Linked DNA regions of Arabidopsis thaliana. The protein of the gene in region 2 interacts with the protein of the main gene of each other region in a pairwise test. Each region holds a gene or a part of one and is shown on either strand. Other genes may lie near its edges. The genes, in order: RSR4, PDX2 and PDX1.1.

Evidence for each region.
Region 1: the proteins of PDX2 (region 2) and RSR4 interact in a two-hybrid assay, tested with the Arabidopsis thaliana proteins (one study listed by BioGRID).
Region 3: the proteins of PDX2 (region 2) and PDX1.1 interact in a two-hybrid assay, tested with the Arabidopsis thaliana proteins (one study listed by BioGRID).

Annotation. Positions count from the first base shown.
Region 1 is NC_003076.8:171,354-175,493, forward strand, and holds RSR4 (Aldolase-type TIM barrel family protein), read right to left. Parts: upstream 2,311-4,140; 5' UTR 2,153-2,310; coding exon 1,223-2,152; 3' UTR 536-1,222; downstream 1-535. Other genes in the region: AT5G01420 (Glutaredoxin family protein), read right to left, coding at 3,533-4,140. UniProt on the Arabidopsis thaliana protein: Catalyzes the formation of pyridoxal 5'-phosphate from ribose 5-phosphate (RBP), glyceraldehyde 3-phosphate (G3P) and ammonia. The ammonia is provided by PDX2.
Region 2 is NC_003076.8:24,336,044-24,340,374, forward strand, and holds PDX2 (pyridoxine biosynthesis 2), read right to left. Parts: upstream 2,760-4,331; 5' UTR 2,605-2,759; coding exon 2,425-2,604; intron 1,932-2,424; coding exon 1,844-1,931; intron 1,777-1,843; coding exon 1,703-1,776; intron 1,450-1,702; coding exon 1,258-1,449; intron 1,158-1,257; coding exon 1,060-1,157; intron 967-1,059; coding exon 831-966; 3' UTR 580-830; downstream 1-579. Other genes in the region: GRIK2 (geminivirus rep interacting kinase 2), read left to right, coding at 4,092-4,331. UniProt on the Arabidopsis thaliana protein: Catalyzes the hydrolysis of glutamine to glutamate and ammonia as part of the biosynthesis of pyridoxal 5'-phosphate. The resulting ammonia molecule is channeled to the active site of PDX1.
Region 3 is NC_003071.7:16,009,207-16,013,015, reverse strand, and holds PDX1.1 (pyridoxine biosynthesis 1.1), read right to left. Parts: upstream 1,784-3,809; 5' UTR 1,542-1,783; coding exon 612-1,541; 3' UTR 501-611; downstream 1-500. Other genes in the region: AT2G38240 (2-oxoglutarate (2OG) and Fe(II)-dependent oxygenase superfamily protein), read left to right, coding at 45-293; APD3 (RING/U-box superfamily protein), read right to left, coding at 2,478-2,553, 2,670-2,919, 3,026-3,101, 3,194-3,346, 3,448-3,530, 3,607-3,699. UniProt on the Arabidopsis thaliana protein: Catalyzes the formation of pyridoxal 5'-phosphate from ribose 5-phosphate (RBP), glyceraldehyde 3-phosphate (G3P) and ammonia. The ammonia is provided by PDX2.

The DNA.
Region 1 (4,140 bases), about 24 Mb from region 2:
ATATTATATAAGTCTCATATAGTTAGTGAATTGATTAAATAGGCCAATGTGCAGTAATAATGGGCCGATGTGGGCCTATTTCGATTGATATTTAAATTGTATCCGTGTTTCTGGTCTTACCGGAGTCTTTTTGGACAAAATGCGAGTGATGTGCAATCAAATCACATTTACAATTTGGTTAAGTTTTGTTTGATTTTGGTTGATCTCGGTTAACAAAATTAACCTGTTAGTAGTGAGAACCTTTTGAACTTTGAAGTAATGCTCTTTGGAGAAATTGGATCCGGCAGAGCCAAGAGCTTAGAGGCTGAAGTCAAGGGATATATACTCGTATCCCTAAGTCATGGTGTCGTGTAAGACCTTCAAGAACTCGATTTTGAACAAAAGAGCTCTATGGATTCCGATGATCGTATGCTACTACCGCGCATGAGATCTGAAATCCCATAGCTAGAAGAGCCCCATGGATTTTCAAAGCTAGAAGAGTGAGTCCCATGGATTTTCAAAGCTAGAGGACTCTTATGGATTTTAAAAGCTAGAAGAGTCCCATGAACTCTTCTCCTTTACTAATCACACATTAACATAGCATTTCATAAAAACCAATTTACAATGCAAACATAGCTGCAAAGAACCCCCCATAAACCATAATCCACACATCATGAAATCGATGATTAGTACTCGTTAACAACAAAGAAAACTCAACTCATATTATCTTCCTTTGTTAGGTTGACAGCTATGCCTGAAATCACAAATTTAAAATAAGAACTAGAGGCTATGTGAATCTAATCCAGGACAGTTCTTCAAAACCAAATCCAATACTCAAAGTCTCAAACATCTACAGAGCTCAGTACCAGTGTACGAATTCCCAAATTAAACAAGTTCATCCTTTGTTTATCAACCTGATACTACTAAGTACTAATAGGCCTGTCTGAAATGTAATTGAACAACAAGCTCAATGGTCAATACCAATGGATCGAAGAATATATCAGATTCAAAACCAACTGATCGATCAAGAGAGTAGTACATTATTATAACTGACAAACTTGTTCTTGCAAAGGGATTACGAGTTACAATAACAAAAGACTATCAAAGATTATAAGGAAAACACAAAGGATACAAACTACCAACAATATCATCATCTTCTTCTTTTCAAAGAGATTACTGCAAAATGGTCTGAGAAAATTCTGAAACCATTTCGTCTGAGATATTTTACCTTTTATTTCTTTGATCACTCGGAGCGATTAGCGAACCTCTCAACCTTCTCATCGTTGAGATTGATCCCAACCATGGCTTCTCCAAGCCCACAGCTCACCTCCACAAGCATCTCAGGGTCACTGTAATGAGTCACAGCCTGAACAATGGCACGTGCACGACGAGCTGGGTCACCGCTCTTGAAGATACCAGAACCAACAAAGACACCATCACATCCAAGCTGCATCATGAGAGCTGCATCAGCCGGAGTAGCCACTCCACCGGCGGCGAATTGGACTACAGGAAGACGACCAAGCTGCTTAGTCTGCATCACGAGATCGTACGGAGCGGCTAATTTCTTAGCGAAAGTGAAAACCTCATCATCATCCATGTTTCGCAAAACCCTAATGTCACCATTAACAGACCTCACATGCCTCACAGCTTCAATAATGTTACCGGTTCCAGCTTCACCTTTGGTCCTAATCATCGCCGCACCTTCACGGATCCTCCTCAGAGCCTCGCCGAGATTCCGGCAACCGCAAACGAACGGGATCCGGAAATTATGCTTGTTGATGTGATGATCTTCATCAGCAAGAGTCAAAACCTCGCTCTCATCGATGTAATCGATTCCAATTGCTTCAAGGATCTGAGCTTCAACGAAATGACCAATCCTAGCCTTAGCCATCACCGGAATCGTAACGGCTTGTTTGATTTCTTTAATCATTTGTGGATCGCTCATACGAGCGACGCCTCCTTGAGCGCGGATATCAGCAGGAACACGCTCCAAAGCCATGACGGCGCAAGCACCAGCCTCCTCGGCGATACGAGCTTGCTCGGCGTTGACGACATCCATGATAACACCACCACGGAGCATCTGAGCCAAACCGACCTTCACGGAGAAGGGAGATTTCTTCGCCTCCGTTATCGCACCGTTACCGTACACCGCCACAACGCCGGTTCCTTCCATTATCGGAGATTGAAGAGAAATTTGTGTGGAGAAAATGGAAGAGAGATTTGGGAATGGTGAAGCGATTTCTGGCCGGTCCTCGTTTATCTATGGATCGGCTTTATAGTGAGAGTTTGTGGCGGTGTGAATAAAAGCTAAAATAATAAAATAGATGTTTTTCTCTATTTTTATTAATTAAATAGAAACTCCTTAATTATTGAATTTTTAATTTTTATTTGGGAAAGTGTGGGATTTTGTTGTGATCGGACGGTCAAGATTAAAACACAATTTCGATTTTTCGATTAACACATGTTTAGTGGACTGCATTTTAAGATTTTAGCCAACTAAACTAGAGGTTTTGACAAGAAAAAATGAGTCGTCCGGAATTGGATTATAAAAGTGTTAAATGCATTGTTAATGATGTTTTAAAACGTTTTCACAATTTATTTTTTCTTATTTTAAATAGATTTTAGGGAAAAAATTTTGGAAAAAAATCTTCTGACACAAAGAAATGTAACTGGACCTCATAGAATCCACGACTGTCGCTCTAGTCCGCATTAATTGTTGCATAAAAGACAAGGAGAAAAAATGTTAGCAGAAAATGAATTGCACGCTTTTGGAAAAAATGTTATGGAAAGCATCATTTTCTTCATAACAAACATCTTTATATTTCTTTATCAAACAATTTACAACCAATCGTTTTGGAATGGGATTTTTAAGATACTACATTTGGGAGTAGGAGAAATTCATTTTTATACAATAGTACGTTAAGTTTTATAATCCTAGAAAAAAAAATTTGAAATAAAGGAAAAAATCTCTTAAAAAGAAAATCTAAAAATAGCAGTTTGTGATGATAAAAGTAAATAGAGAAATAGGCGGCTGTGGTTGAAAAGGAAGGCCCGCCTCTCCTTTGCAATCAGTAGATTTGTCCACTCAGCCGACCCTGGCGGCCCAACTTGCTCTTTTGACTACTTCACTGTAACTATACCATTCAGATATTTAAGTATTTGGCAATTCATCGAATTAGTGAATACGTTTTGTTAAGTGGTTGATCGATGATTAAATCAAATAATAAGGGTAAATTCTCAAATAAATGTAGTTTATGGATGACAATCTTAGTGGATGTTGCAAAAATTTTGCTACTAACACCGGTATGTTAATCTTTATACACATCATATATAATTATAAACATTAACAAATGCTATAAATTTAGTGCAATTCGTGTCAATAATTCAAACTCTTTTTTAAGGCAATAATAACTTGAGATTTGTGTAGAAACAACCATATGATATAACTGATGACCATATTTATTTTCTGTATAAAAAAATCGTTACAATACTAAGAAAAATAATAAACGAATAATGTAATTTGATATATATAGACCAAACAAAAAAAATGGTATTAGGAGCAACCAACGCACACAATTAACCCATTCTCATTACATATCAAACACTGAATTCTTGATCCATCACCAGAGATAATCCGGCGACTACCTCTGCATCCATCACACATCAAAAACCTAAAACCATCGCACCGCCGGCAACGTTCATCTCCGGTGATTGGAATGCCCTCAAAGAGAATCTTAAACTTCCCTTGCTCGTGCAGTCCCAACACTCTCTGAGCTCCACCGATACACCTTCCTTTTACGAACAGAACCGGAGGCAACACCTCTGTTTCCGCCGCTGAGATTCGTCGGAGCTCTTCTCTATACTCTCTATGCATCGACACATCTCTCTCGTAGTACTTAACCTTAAAACTATCCAGCAGAAATCGGATCATGTTGCAATCGTCGAACGTTTTTCTGATTCCTCGAAGAGTCGTTGTGTAGAAAACAACGGATTCCTCTCCTCCCGGAGGACACCGTTCCTCGAATTCCAACAACGGATCCATAAGGGTATTTCCGTCTTTTCCAATGTCTTCTTCTCCGATGACTTCTTCCCTGATCGCATTTACAATCTGAAGGGCATTTCCATCATCTTTGTGAAGAACGACGACATTTTCGTCTTTCC
Region 2 (4,331 bases):
CTTAATGCCTCATGATCAAATCATATTCATACTTGCTTCATTTGTTCCCAGTTGAATTATATTAGCAATTTACTATGAGAAAACAGGGTGAAGTTAGTATTCATTTAGTTGACAAAAAATAATAAAAAAGGGTGAAAATTTTGGTTATCGATACAATAAATTTGAAAAATCCGGTCTGTATATCTTTCTATACACTATATATACAAATTTGAAAATTTTCTCTATTTTCTGAAGAAAAACAAAATTAATTCTTGATGGCTTTATGTGCAAGGAAACGAGTATCTAGAACGTGAGGATGCCTTAAATGAAGAAGAAAGCCCTCATGTCTTAACATATCTGTAAATGTGTGCATTTTAAGTAACTTTTCTTGACTTTCATTGGCCCAAAGCCGCCCACTACTACAAGATTGCACCCTTTCGAGAAAGCAATGAAAAGTCAAACGCGTCAAAGTCAGCTGACTGGTTTACTATAAACCGGGTTAGCTTCTAAACCATTGAACCAAAACCCTACCGAGTTATACTTTCAGAGCATGTTCTGTTCTGCCTATAAACGCTGACAGTTATCTAAAGCTTAATTCTTGGCCAAACGACCTTTCACATTTCACAAGACATAGACCAAATTGAATCAGCAAAAAAGTTTGAGATTCAACTGTATATATAAAGTTGTATCAAGAAACAAGTACATGAATCCATTAAAGAGTCTTGTGAAACTTTCTTGAGTGCAAATTGCAAACTAGCTTGCAATTTTTCCAAAACATCTTTAGAAAGATAAAGAATCTGACACTTTCTCTGGTTTTTATTTTAAGAAGTGTGTATCTTCTCTCTGTTCAGTTATTGAAATATAGGAAGATCAGGCTTAGCTGGCTCGGGACCAGCACTTGTTTCTCCAACAGATACAATAGTCTTACTACTGCTTGAAGAAGCTCCTTGCTCAATCTCTTTCGTCATCTTTATGAAATAACTGTGCCTGCAAAAAAAATGAAACCGGAAAGAGTAAAAACAGACCATATAGATCATTGCTGCAAATATCAAAAGATCGGGGAAAATGTTAATCAATTACCATCGAGTGTCTGCAGTAAGCTCGGGATGAAAAGCAGTTGCTAACAAGTTTCCTTGCTTCACAGCAACAATGACTTTTGTTTCAGGAAGAGCATCTTCCTGATTTATCCCCAAAAAATGAAACCAACAAGAAGGGATTCATACATGTGCTCACAAAAGAGTAATCGTTTCATGAAAATTAGTGCAAAATTAAGCAAACCTCTTGAATTTGTACGGTGGAGCTTGAATACAAGACCTTGTTTGATGGGACGGGATAATCCGCCAGGACTTCGACATCAGGACCTACATCAAGAACAGCTGGAGCACGTATGAACACTCCCCTGTATGTCTCTGGCCCACCTTCTTGAGATGTTAGTTGAGGTACTAAGATATCAGCTTCAAAACTTTGAATCTACACATCAAAAACAAATTCGAGAACAATCTAAGATTTTCACAACATCTTATTTGATACTAAGAGTGAATGAGAATCCATATGAAATTACTCCCATTGATTCATGAAAAGACCGAGTTTTATATATCAGTACACCACAACTCATGCTAATATAAGCAGTTTCTTTTTCCACATATTGCAAGTCAAGATTGATTTAAATATGTGTTTACACATTTTCTTAACATGAACCCGGAATCTTGGTAAGAGACATAACCTGGCTACCGAAGAAGTTCCTATGTACGGTGCAATCAAGGCCACCAACTAATTCCTGACCTCCCTCTTTCTGACCTAAAATTTCAACATTTACTCAAGTTTCTAAATTTTCCGCAACAGGAAGATGAATTCAAGTACTCACCAACTGCTCTGTCTGCCAAGAATATAAGACCTGCGCATGTCCCCCAAACAGGTTTCCCCATCTTAACAAACTCACGTAGAGCCGGAAACTTCAAAAGAGCAACAAATGAAAGAAAATTAGAACAGAGAAGAGACATTTTACACTATTCTTCGTCCTCACCACTAAAACTGTAAAAACAACCAAATCTAAACAAGGAGTTTGGTAAAGATAAAAGTAAATGATAGCTCTCCCTTTCCTACACTTATCACAGCTTCCATTAAAGACAGAAAATATCATCCATAAGATCAACGAGTAGTTTGGTCCACAATGTTTAAAGGTTTCAGATACAAAACATTACTTCATGTACTTGAAGGCTAACTAATCCCAAAGTTCCTTCATTTTCAATCTCAAAGCTAATTACTTTCAACAGTACTAACTGAATTATTCAGGTATAAGAGACGTTTTGACTGAAATTCTGGAGAATTTTGGTGAATAACGCCAGATTCGTGTCAAAACACACATAAAAAAGGAACCTTTAACTAGTTTCTTCAAGTGGGTCCTCGCAAACAATAACTTTAGATTCTAGAGAGAGAGGAGCGGACCAAGTTATGATACTCGGCGAGTTTGGCCATGGTGGTGCTCTCGCCGCCAGGAATGATAAGAGAAGAAACGGTGAGAAGCTGGTCAGCCTTCCTAATCTCGACGCCTTGGACACCGAGCCGCCGCAGAGCCGCGATGTGCTCATTGAAAGAACCTTGCAAAGCTAAAACTCCGACGGTCATTGCGGCGGCGACGGTCAAAGAAAGAGAGTGTCAGATATTATTAAACACTAAAACTTTGTGAATGGAATTGGGACACTCACAAAAGCCTTTTTGTAACAGCCATCGACGATTTTGTTTTGTGTTTCTTTCTTTGCCCACGATTTGGATTTCTATTCAGATATTTTCTTATAATAACATTTTTAAATATAAAGATATCACGGTATTAATAACTATTGTGAACAAATTCAATTAAAAAGCCATAAACAATTATGCTAACAAAACAAAAATATACACTTATTAAGCTTTTATGTGATTATAATTCAAATTCTCTAGGAAAAATTGTAATCTATTTTACAAAATTTTAAAGATGATGATATAATATTATATATACACACAAAAAAAAACTTATAGTAAAGGTAGGTTTTCAAAAACTCATAATGTGTTTTTTTTTATTAGTAGTAATTTTATTGTTTTCTAACCACTGAATTTAGTTTATAGCATGTTTTGTCACATTAGCTGGTGATGATTTAATATAAAACTACTTTTTATAAAAGTAATTGACAAAACAAAAAATATAAACCCCAAAAAAAAAAAAACAGAAGGGGGAGAGAATCTCGATCAAAGGCTTCGAAGCTCTCTCTTTTTTTTTTGGTGTGTCTAAATCTCTCACGCACGACGTTGAGAGAGCTCTTTCCTTTGCGATCTTGTTGTCTTCCTCTGCTCCGATCGAATTCACAACCAGCTTTAATGTATGATTCTCGCTCTTACCTTCAGTTTATGTTCCGAATCTTCTCATGAAATTTCCATTGCATCCGATTTCGAAATTAGGTTTTTTTTTTTCAATTTTCAAAATTTTGGTTTGTGATTTATGTGATTTTGAAGCCACCTTCTTGGGGGTTCTTAAGTTTGCTGTAGAATTTTATTGTTCTTCTCTCCGTCTTTGTTTCTTTGCTTAGAGTTGACTATTTGGATTGAAAAAGTTTACACCTTTACGCCTGAATCATAATACCCACAATGTGATTGACTTATCTACACAAGCTTTTGAATTTGATGAGAATTTGACCTTTTCTTTTTTCGCAGAAGCATTGTAGTTCAACTTGAATTTATTGGCGGTTGTTGAAGCTGTGTAGCTATTAACAATTGGGGCTATGCATTCAACGATTTTCTGCTCGTGAAGAAGGAATATAACTTATTTATAAGGTTTCAGTCTTAGACATGTCGTGTTTCGATTGCAGTGGTTATGATGTCTCAAGTTGTCTTATTCATCTCGCTGAATGGCATCCTTTGGAATAGTCAAGTTCTCCGGGCTTGAAGCCCTCGAAACCCCTTTTATCGCGGGGTAAGATTTCGATTTCTACAGAGGTTCTTGTGTTTAATTATTTGGATGCTTAATGTTGATGTCACTTTTTTTTTTGTGTGCAGGTTCCTCAGTTAACTTGAGGATTTTATATTTCATCATACATTTGAGGAGCAATTTGTTTTTTTATTTTATTTTTGAGAAGGAGATCATGTTTCGTGATAGTTTTTTGTTTGCCCGTACCATCGGTTGCTTTGGATGCTTTGGCAGTTCTGGTAGTAGAAACCAACAATCGCCTAAGCCCTACGATGATGATACACATTCCTGTGATAGTGATGTAACTAGCACTGCAAGAGGAGAAGAAGAAGAAGATGAAGAAGAAGTAGAGCAGAAGAGCCGCTCTAAACGATCTGAGGAAATTTTGAAATATAGATTAGATAATGGATTAATC
Region 3 (3,809 bases), on a different chromosome or scaffold from region 2:
ACTCTACAAATTAAATACTAACCGATGGATATATCAATGTGTAGATACTTAGCAATGGAATTTACAAAAGCGTGGAACATCAAGTGATCGTTAATTCCGGTATGGAACGAGTCTCTTTGGCATTCTTCTATAACCCGAGAAGTGATATCCCGGTTGGACCAATCGAAGAACTAGTAACTGCAAACCGACCTGCTCTTTATAAACCAATCAGGTTCGACGAGTACCGTTCTCTGATAAGGCAAAAGGGTCCTTGTGGAAAAAACCAAGTCGACTCACTGTTATTAACTAGATAATAATTGATAAACATTCCAAGTATTATCTGTTATTCCTATGTCCTTGATATAGTCGTTACTAAATAATATGTAAACCGTATCTTCACTTTTTCTTATTATATTGCTGCTCTCTCTTGAGGTTTGATATTGTTAATTTCACATAGTTTAGTTGTAGAATTTGCCATTAATCCAATGAAATTATGGTTGGCCACACTAGCCAACAAAACTCCTCATTTCCAATTTTTTTCTATAAAATCTTGAATAAATCGAGAATATTGGTTTGTGGATACATATTAAAGTGACAAACGTTATGGATAAAAACATCTGAAATTTGATTGGTTACTCAGAACGACTAGCGAACCTCTCAACCTTATCATCCAAATTAAGACCAACCATGGCTTCACCTAAACCACAGCTCACCTCCGCCAACACCGCCGCGTCTCTATAATTCGTAACCGCCTGAACAATAGCCTTAGCCCTCTTCACCGGATCTCCACTCTTGAAAACACCCGACCCAACAAACACTCCATCACATCCCAACTGCATCATCAACGCCGCATCCGCCGGCGTCGCCACTCCTCCAGCAGCGAACTGAACCACCGGTAACCTCCCAAGCTCCTTAGTCTGCACAACCAAATCATACGGCGCAGCGATCTTTTTCGCGTAAGTGAAAACCTCGTCATCGTCCATGCTTCTAAGTAACCGAATAGCTCCGTTCACACTCCTCACGTGCCTAACGGCTTCAACAACGTTACCAGTTCCAGCCTCACCTTTGGTTCTTATCATGGCGGCTCCTTCACGGATCCGCCTTAAAGCTTCACCGAGATTCCTACATCCACAAACAAAAGGGATTTTGAAATTATGTTTGTTGATGTGATTATCTTCGTCGGCGAGAGTGAGAACTTCACTCTCGTCGACGTAATCAACTCCGATTGCTTCCAGGATCTGAGCTTCAACGAAATGACCAATTCTAGCTTTCGCCATCACCGGAATCGTCACGGCGTTTTTGATTTCTTTGATCATCTCTGGATCGCTCATTCGAGCAACACCGCCTTGAGCTCGAATATCGGCGGGAACACGTTCAAGAGCCATCACGGCGCATGCGCCAGCTTCTTCAGCGATTCGAGCTTGCTCTGCGTTGACGACATCCATGATTACACCGCCACGAAGCATCTGAGCGAGACCAACTTTCACGGAGAAGGGAGATTTCTGTTTCGTCTCCGTCATGGCTCCTTCGCCGTACACCGCCACAACTCCGGTTCCTGCCATTTTTTCTAGGGTTTTGAGAGAGTGTGGAGCAGAGGAGAGGGGATTTTATAGGACGCGATTTGAAATTTGTTTGTGGACTGTGAGCTGTTGGATTGAGAAAAGATAGTAAAAGTACGTGAATCGGACGGGTTTAGAGGAAGGAGCACGAGGATTGTGGTGGACGTGAGTGTAGAGAAGAGAAGCTACGTATGGAAACTTTGACCACAAGATTTGTTTCTTTTTGTTGTAAATGTATAGTCCCGAAGAGATTATTATCTTGTTGACGTGGAAGCTCATTTCCCTATACCATCGTGTGATGTCGAAGAACCACTGATTCGGATATGTTATGTGTGTAAGGGTGTTGTTCTTTTTTTATGGTATAAAATATGTGGAGAATTTGGAAAAGAATATTAAATTTAATAAAATAAATTACAGTCCTTAATTATTTAATCAATAATTTATACTCTTTCCATTTCACAATATACGTTGTTTTAAATAAAAATATGCAAATTAAAAATATTTATTTTTAAAAAGTTTAGCTAATCATAAAAGAGATTACATAATATAAATAATCAAAAAATATTAAAATAATATATTATTTACATAGAAAGTTAAAAACAACTTATGTTGTGAAACAAAAAAATTGGTCCAAAACTACTTATATTACGAAACGGAGGAAATATACAAAATCCGAATTTATTCAGAAATTAACAATTAATTTATGAAATCCTTAATTATCGATTCGGGTTTCGAACCATTTTGTGATGTGAGTCAACAAACAATGGTTCACTATATTGCCTACCCTATGGTAGTTAACCAATGATGTTGTCACAAAGATGGTTAAGAGATGAAACGAATTAATGCAAAGAAAGACCTGAGCCTTGTCAATATCAAATTATATGATTTTTATTAATGCTCTAACGATTCAACATCACATTGGACAGATAATGATACATCTTAAGCTGTATAGATTCGCTTCACATGTATCATTTTCTTTCGACATATTGGACACCTCCCCTTGGTTCTTTTTATCCTGCAAATATTGTCAAATCACAACGTTCAATATTTTAGATCAATCCCAATATGGTAAACACATTACCATTACAATTATGCAATCCAGAAGTTGTACTTAGTTGATAAAAAACTTACTTTGTTCCGCATTGGTAACAGGAGACGCAATGGCCACACGGGAGGAAACAACAATCTCTTGGAGCATCAAAACAAATGGCACAGAGACTTTTGTTACTTGCTTCGACATCATTACAACAATCATTGTCACCTTTGTCTGCAAGTAGACATGTTCTCACTGAATCATCTCCGGATAAAAATCCCTCTCCACCACAGCACTTTAACTTGTTGCAGAAGTGTATAGCTACCAGCATGAAGGAAAGCAACACACCTGCATACGCAATAATACTACATGTAATTGCTTCCTTGTTACAGAGAAACTAACAAATGCTCAAATCCAATAATCAAGTTGACTTTGAAAAGATTGAAAAGTTTACCTGTGAAGCTTCCATATGCAATCAATCTAGGTTGATATGACAACTCGATATACCATTCATCATCGATGGATACTCCCTAAGGCAGTGAGACAAACATTCATTCAGCTAAGAGTCATAATAATAATAACAGTAACAATATTGTTAGTGTTTCGTATTACGAGTACATACCTGACCCAGTGCTGGTGAAGTTACGACAGCATAATTTTCAACAGGGTACCTTTCATTCATTTTGAATGAGCACTCGCCATTGCTGAAGGAACAATTGTAGGATGTTTGTTTAGTATCATACAAGACAGCCTTCACATCAATATCCAGTTCCACCTGAACAAACATTATGTCAAGTAAAACAGTGTACTGTGGACTGTGCAGAAACACAACAGAAACCAAAACTTAATCCAAAGTCATAACTTGATTATAATTACCTCTATGTCCTTCCTCTTCAAGTTAGCCACAGTAAGATAATAACCTTTAGACTTACTTATATCCAATTGAATCATACCACTCCCTGTAAAGAACTTTTATTAACTCATGATAAGCAATGTAATCAATGCATCTTAAGCAGGAACTTCCATTTGACTAACCCTGAATTAGATTCCATGACCAAGCGGTGTCACGAAATGCAATATCCTTCAGCGACGACCGATAGAAGAATGGCATTCCTATAACTTGAGAGCCTTAACATAGTCAGTTTATATCCCTAAAAGGCAATACTTTCAAACAAAAAAAACTCACTAACATTAACACTTCTACTTCCTCTATTTCCTCTTACTTCACTCAAAGTTAT